2 linked regions of the Schizosaccharomyces pombe genome follow. The protein of the gene in region 1 interacts with the protein of each later gene in a pairwise test. Each region holds a gene or a part of one and is shown on either strand. Other genes may lie near its edges.

Region 1 (3,931 bases):
GCTTTGGATGGGTGAATTAGAGCCTTGGGTTACTGAAGCATTTATCCAGCAAGTTTGGAATACTTTAGGAAAGGCAGTCAAAGTAAAGCTTATTCGTAACAGGTACACAGGCATGAATGCTGGCTATTGTTTTGTCGAATTCGCATCTCCTCATGAAGCTTCAAGCGCGATGAGTATGAACAACAAACCAATTCCTGGTACAAATCATTTGTTTAAACTTAATTGGGCCTCTGGAGGCGGATTACGTGAAAAGTCTATTTCAAAGGCCTCAGAATATTCCATATTTGTGGGAGACTTGTCACCCAATGTCAATGAGTTTGATGTGTATTCTCTCTTCGCATCTCGATATAACTCATGCAAGTCGGCCAAAATCATGACTGATCCTCAAACAAATGTGTCAAGAGGATATGGTTTTGTCCGTTTTACGGACGAAAATGATCAGAAATCTGCATTGGCAGAAATGCAGGGTCAAATTTGTGGTGATCGTCCTATTCGGGTGGGATTAGCCACTCCTAAAAGTAAGGCTCATGTTTTTAGTCCTGTGAACGTTGTACCTGTTAGTATGCCACCAGTTGGATTTTATAGTGCTGCACAGCCTGTTCCTCAGTTTGCTGACACAGCAAACTCAACCGTATTTGTTGGCGGTCTCTCAAAATTTGTTTCTGAAGAGGAGCTTAAGTATCTTTTTCAAAATTTTGGAGAAATTGTTTATGTCAAAATTCCACCTGGAAAAGGTTGTGGATTTGTGCAATTTGTCAACCGACAGTCTGCTGAAATTGCTATCAATCAGTTGCAGGGTTATCCTTTGGGCAATTCTCGTATCCGATTATCTTGGGGAAGGAATCAGAATCCAATTGCGGCTCCTGCCTTGAATTATCAGTCTCAGGTTTCACAAACTACTATTCCTGCTACCTCATTATTTCCGGCAATGAGTTTACCACCCCAGGCTCAGTTTAGTCCATATCCGGCTGTTGCACCTTCCCCCTTAGCCCTGCAAACGAGGGGTGCACCGATTGGCATGGAAATTTCGATTGGATCTCCTGCCCTCGTACCTGATCAAATGCATATTCCTGAAAACGGCAACTCTGATACCATGCCTGTTCCTAACACACAAGGAAAGCATTTATCAGCTGAAGAGTAATGTAAAAGTACTTGCGATTGAATTTTTTATAATGGCATGTCTCATACTTTTTATCATCATTCTTGGTTTTTATAAAGTATGAATAATTTTCCATCTATTCTAATAAGTTTGATGTTCATAATGAATCACGGAGAATTATTGTTTCGAGAAACGTGAGAGTTCTTGTAAACTCTATCTGTTATTTTGGACGTTAAATCAAGAGAGTCCCTTAGCATAATTGATTAATAAGCATTTTACATGTGTTCATGAATTCGAATTATCGAAGAAAAGCTTGAACTAAATTTTTGTTGGACATAGCTTCATTACGTTTCCTTTCTAAGGATTGACGGTTTTTATATTCATCTCTCCCTGTTTATGATATGAAATGCTACGTTTTTTTAGCCGAAATTTTCATTTGTCATGATTTTTATAGTCAAGAAAAAGGTTTTCATACGACGTATATAAAAGATTAAATTTAATAGTAATGATGGACTTCAGAATTATCGCACTGAGATTTTTAGGTCGCTGGAGAATGCAGTTTAGGCAAGGTATGTAAGTGCTTATTGAGATTTCCCATTGATAAACAACTTTTAAGTTGCTTCTGGTTTAATCATTCGTTCTTTTAGGTATGAGTTTAGTTAAATGATCAGCGCCATTTTCAAAACATTTCATTCAACCAAAAATCAACCGCCTCTAAATTCAATTTTATTTGAATGATACTCCCTATTTATCGAAAAATCCATTCAATTAAAATCTATTATTAACTTTTCATCCATTTAAATCTACTCCATTTTTAAAGCTCTTGTTTACAGAGTAACAACGCGACTTGCAACTTCTACTACGCCAGGGGGGCGACTGTCGCAATAAACAACTGACAGAAAACGCACTTATAGTATAGGCTCAAAATCTTTTTAAATCGTAGCCTTTCCCATTAATACGAATACATCATCAAATTCAGTTTTGCGATTAAGTATAAACGGGCTTAACTCGTGCGTTTATATACTTTGTCAACGCTGTGATTAGTATTCAACCTTTGACGTTACACTTTATTAACCTGGCTCGATACTCTTAAATAAGACTCTGGAAAGCGACAATTCTTATAATTAATTTTATTTTTTATTTTTTAACCTGTGAAAAAGTTTTAATCTCTAGACCTGGAACGATCATTAACATAATTGTGTACACATTATTGAAATCCAGCTTATAAATGAATTTTGATCTACTAAATAATTTACTCACCGATCCAAAGAAGCAGACAACATAAACCATCACCTATCGCTATTTTTACCTTCATCCATTAAATAACACCTTCATACATTCCGAACACCAGGTTTTTGCACTCTCTACTCAGCAAATCGGAAAGGCTTAAAATGGGATTCACTAGTGTTGAACCCCCAGATTTTTTTGATTGGACTGCCAGAGCTATATTTTTATTATCGACATTACGCAGTCGCAGAAATGCTAAGCAAATTGAGCGTGAAAATGCGCTTTTGGATCAAATCAAGGAGCTTTTAAGTATTGCCATTATTCAGTGTCATGAAAGAAATATTCCTTCGATAGATCTTCCCCCGTCTTTTTTCAATTATGTTTGTGAACAGCTACCCAGGCACCCTTTTGCTAAGATAGCTTCGAGCTACATAGATACGCATACTTTATTTTTTCAAATATCTATCAGCTCATTTTTATGCCGATTTTCAAACTGCTCAGAAGACGAGATCAGGCTTTTTAAGCAGCACCAGTCCCTTGATAGTTTTTTACTATCCTTGTTTGACCTCCTTTGTAGTCACCACTTTTCCGTTGAATTTACGTCCATATCACTAATTATCAAATCTTCGCAGTGGTTATTTTATACATTATCCGATTATGCTCATGAATCCTTAACAGGCGTTGAGGCTGATATTACAACGAAATTTCTTTCCACCCTAGCTGATACTTGGCCAGAATTCGAAGAGCAGTGTACTCTTAGCAAACATCTTTTTCTTTTAGGTGACTTTTCGCTAATCAGCTATGTAAAAGTTTTATGTGGTGTATTTAATATCCCTAACTACAATGCCTTCATTCTAAGTGTCGAGGATCTACTTCCGGAAAATATATCCTTTGCCGCCGTTGCTGATTTTCAGTTATCAAAGTATAGGGCAATTAACGACAATTCTGTATTAAGAAGTGACGATTTCTCATCAAAAGCTGTGTTCGACAAATACGTTGAAAGGGAGTGTTATTACTCAGAAAATGCTATTAGTAAAATTTTTCAAAACTATCCTGATTTGGCTGTCCTTTTTGAAGAACTACAATATGCCGAGGGAAACAATGATCTTCTATCTGCGATTTTGAATACCAATAAATATACTTTGAGACCTGATGATTGTGCTCCATACTTTTATCGTTTAATGGATTTGTGCTTACGTTATTGTTATAGCCAAAGTAATGAAATTGGTACCAACGTTTTATGGAGCATGACTACAAGTTTCATCAACATTTGGCGTATTCATCCTGGAACATGTTGTTGCGTGGTCTTAAGTATATATTGGCCTTATCTTGAGGATAAACTCCTAAAGTTTTCGGACCTTGGAGATATTTTTGAATACTTCTTTTCTTTAATTCATGATTGTGATTATGCGATTTGGTCAGTCCATGACGAACACCAATTTTCGGAGTTATTGGCGTTTTATCATAGAAGAGCTTTAAATGACTTAGTAGAAGAATTGGGGAGCTGTCCTCGTTCTAGTGATTCTTGCCGAGCTATCCTTGATATCCTTAATAATTACATCTTTTCATGTCCGCTTTTTCTGGTAACCCCTGAAGAACTAGAAG
Region 2 (3,931 bases), 1.0 Mb from region 1:
AATAAAGACTTAAATCAGCAACTTCTTGACATAGAAACCTCCCCTTCTGAGCACACACAGTCGTACAATTTAAATCTGCTTGATGTATTACAACACACCTTACGAGACTCGTTGAAAGATATATATACCCTCAATACTGGTGCTGATAATTCCAGTGATAACGTTGAAGAAAATGCGGATAACTTATTCCAATCGAGCGTATTGGATCATGTCCATTTTAAGAGTGTTGTAAATAATGAAGTTCCTGCCGATGAACGTCTCGCTATTTCAGATGATATATTTGAGCTTTATCGGAGGCTTGACGATGTAATAGATCTTAATTCTTCTTTATACTCCGATGATTTTATTCCAGTGAACGGTAAATTGCATAATGTTGTTAAACTCTTTTCATACAGCCTTTGCCAAGTTGAAGCATCTACTAGAGGACACATAAAATGTTCAAGTATTCCAGCGGATATTTGGGTGCATAATCTTGGAAAAAATCAGCAAGTTTTTTTAAGGATTTTATCTGAATCTATCAAAACTTATACTTTGTTATGTGCACATGATTCACAGAAGCGTATTGGGGGTTCAATTCAAGAGTTTGAATTTATTAGTTTCTGCCAACAAAAAAGGATATTTGGGCGACTATTGCCCTCTCTAGATTCACCGGTTACCAAATCTATTACTGATGATAGAGTTGAGCCGTTACTTGTGAAGGATACATTTCGAGAATTCGCCGAAGCCAGTGTCTCTGGTTTATTATCATGTGACGAATCGTTTCACTACTTGACGCAATTATACTATACTGCCGATATAGTTCGAAACTTATGGATTCTTTTGTCACAAAGAAACTCTTTACTGAAATGTATGGAATCAGTTGAATTTGAAGCCTTTGACTATGAGCAGCTAAAGGGGTTTGAGCACTTAGTTATCCAAATTTGGAAAAGTCTTCGTGTCGACGGAGCAGGATTAATCAATTTTGATTGTTGTACGGAGGATGATCTAAATAATCCTCATCTTTTGTTTACACTGTATAAACTATTGGAAAGGTTTTCTCTAATCTTCCTTCGAAAATGTGCTTTGCTTTGGTATTGCCGCTATGGAGTTTCATTTGAGACGCAACCGAATTTAAACTTTCAAAATTCAGAATTATCACGTTTACAAACAAAAATGCATATTCCAGGTGTTATTGAATTATCTAATCATCTTTGTCTTACGGCATCTTCCACAGAATGGAGCCTTATAAAGCACTGGTGTAATTTCTTTACAGAGACTGGTCCTCTATGCGATTTTCCTCGCGCTTATTACCCTGGAATTTATGAACTAGTTTCTTTACCGTATGAATTGGATAAAGTCTTTGAGTTACTATTGGCCAGGCGATGCTCGAAATGTTTAACTGAACCTATGGAACCAGCGATATGTTTATTTTGTGGGAAGCTCTTATGCTTCCAAAGTCATTGTTGTTCCTTTAATGGTATTGGAGAATGTAATCTTCATATGCAACAATGCGCTTCTGACATTGGAATTTTTCTTATTGTCAAAAAATGCGCTATTCTCTACCTCAATCCACCTGTAGGAAGCTTCTCTGTAGCTCCATTTTTGGATGCGTATGGAGAGACAGATTTGGGATTGCGTCGTGGCCGCTCTCAATATCTATCACAAAAACGTTATGATGAAACAGTACGAACGATGTGGCTAAACGGATCTATTCCTTCTTATATTGCTCGACAACTGGATGCGAATCCAGACACCGGAGGTTGGGAAACACTTTAGGCTAAACAATGGGAGTTTACGTGATCTAAGCTACTAATTTTTTTAATGCTTCAAACACCTTGATTATTTATTAGGATATATATACCAAAACTTGACATTTTATCATTTAATTCATATTCATTGACCTGTAAATATAGGTTACTTTACAAACATTTCGTCTCATTCAAACAGTCAATCGTATTGCCCTTATATTTAAGGGGCGAGTATCATTTAAGGATAAAATTAGATGAAAGTTTCATGAATACTTTAAAACTCAGTTTGAAACTTTGATAAAAGAAGCTTTTTTAACTCATCAGTCAAATCCAATGTTAATTAATGGAAGGAGTAATGGAAAGCCTTCAAAAAAAAAAATAAAAAAATCATAGTAATTAATTCAAGACCGCCTTCATCTAGTATATTCAGTAGATTTGTTTACAAATCGATGAAATAGTGACGTACGCAGTATTCGAACGCGCCTTACAGTTTCTTCCTCACTAATTCACTGAGAACACATAGTGTTGGAAATTACCACTCTGGAATATAGTTTAGAGTTAGGAAGATACATGAGGTGTTGGAACCCAAACCCTTTCTTGTTCTAAACCTAACAAGTGATATAATCAGACAAAGAAACGCTGGTGTTGGAACTAGGATAATAGAGCAAATACTAGTTCTATAAATTCAATATTCCTTCCTTGGATAGGGATATAACCATTATTGAATTTTCCTTGTCCAAAATTCGCGTATAGTGGTATTTTTGAAACGAAGGTGCTACAGATTCTTAGGAAGGATGCAAATTGCCACTAATGGATCAAAGCAAGCGATTGTTAAAGTCAGCTGTTCCAAACCCGCCTGAACATTTTAAAACAGGTATATCCTGGCTTGATGACCTTGACGAGAAGGACGATGACTCAGCGACGTCTGTGAACTATGATATACCAGAAATAACCGAAGCAAATCTCTGTAATGACTCCCATGAAGCTCTTTCACCTTGCACTCAACCTGTCGGTAATTCTGGACGACCTGTCGAAGCTTTTAAGACCTATCCTAGCACTCCTGCAGTACCTAGCAAAAGCGTGCTTTTCCATTTTTATGAACCGGATGAGAACTTTAGCTTATCTGACACGGGACGTACTAAATCGGATACCGCCTTAGCTGCAAGAGAAAGCTCTGAAAAGTCTGAAGTGCCACGTGATACCCGTAGTGCTGGGATAAAGCCATACAAAGAAAATAACTCGTCTAATTGTGCAATTTCTAAAGAAGCAGGCCTTCGAAGACTTATTGATAAGGACAGAGAATCTTTCGACAAAAACCTGAATCAGTCATTTACCAATCTAACTTTTCCAGAACCGATTTCTGATGACAGTGACAGTGTGGAGTTTCAACGTGATTCTCTTAATAACAATTGGCCAGCTAGTTTGGAAGGTAGCATACACGAATTACCCAGGAATAGTGATGATGATGGAATCCCTGCTTCTGCGGCTCATATCCTGGACCTCGATTATCATAGAGATAGTTATGATAGCCCTTGGAAGAAGTTTTTACCGTACCCTTCCATTTTATCCGATGATTCTTGGAAAGCTCCGGAGAGTTGGGGAACTAGTTTGCCCACTGAGGCTATTCCAAAGCAGGTTTTTACTACTAGATTTTTTGCTCGTCCTTCCCTGGGCAATAGAAAGAAAGAGTTCTTTCTTCGAGTATACCGTGATGATCGAACTTCCGTATCATTCATTTGCCCTATTGGCATACAAACTCATGAAGTGATTAAGCTGTTAGCAAGGTTATTTTTTCTTCCCTCGTCTGCTAATTTTTACCTCTTATTAATCCAATTCAATACAGAACGTATTTTGTTGCCTCATGAACAGCCATGCATTATATTTGAACGATTATTGAGTTTGTTTGGGTGTAAGGTAACTTCCGATGAAGAAATAAATGAAGAAGATAATTATAGTGTTGCTAGATTGGTGTTTACTACGATGGATATTGGAGCGGATGTATTGCGTAAATTCTCTGAAAAAAAAATTACTGCGAACCTTGACATTAGTAGGTCAAACCTGGAGGTTATTCCGGTAAAGATCTATCCCTATGCCCATGAACTTATCTCGTTGAATGTTTCGCACAATTTATCGCTGGACCTGCCTTTAGATTTCATGGAGCGCTGTGTCAAGCTTAAGCGGTTAGACATTTCCAATAATTTAAG

The links.
Region 2: the proteins of git1 (region 1) and cyr1 interact in binary tests that used the Schizosaccharomyces pombe proteins (3 or more experiments, as listed by UniProt).

The regions. Positions count from the first base shown.
Region 1 is NC_003423.3:3,833,053-3,836,983, reverse strand, and holds the start of git1 (C2 domain protein Git1), read left to right. Parts: upstream 1-1,993; 5' UTR 1,994-2,490; coding exon 2,491-3,931. Other genes in the region: splicing factor Cxr1, read left to right, coding at 1-1,141.
Region 2 is NC_003423.3:2,817,471-2,821,401, forward strand, and holds the start of cyr1 (adenylate cyclase), read left to right. Parts: upstream 1-2,331; 5' UTR 2,332-2,537; coding exon 2,538-3,931. Other genes in the region: N-end-recognizing protein, UBR ubiquitin-protein ligase E3 Ubr1, read left to right, coding at 1-1,755. UniProt on the Schizosaccharomyces pombe protein: Acts in glucose-induced cAMP signaling by catalyzing the synthesis of the second messenger, cAMP to activate PKA signaling and repress sexual development and gluconeogenesis.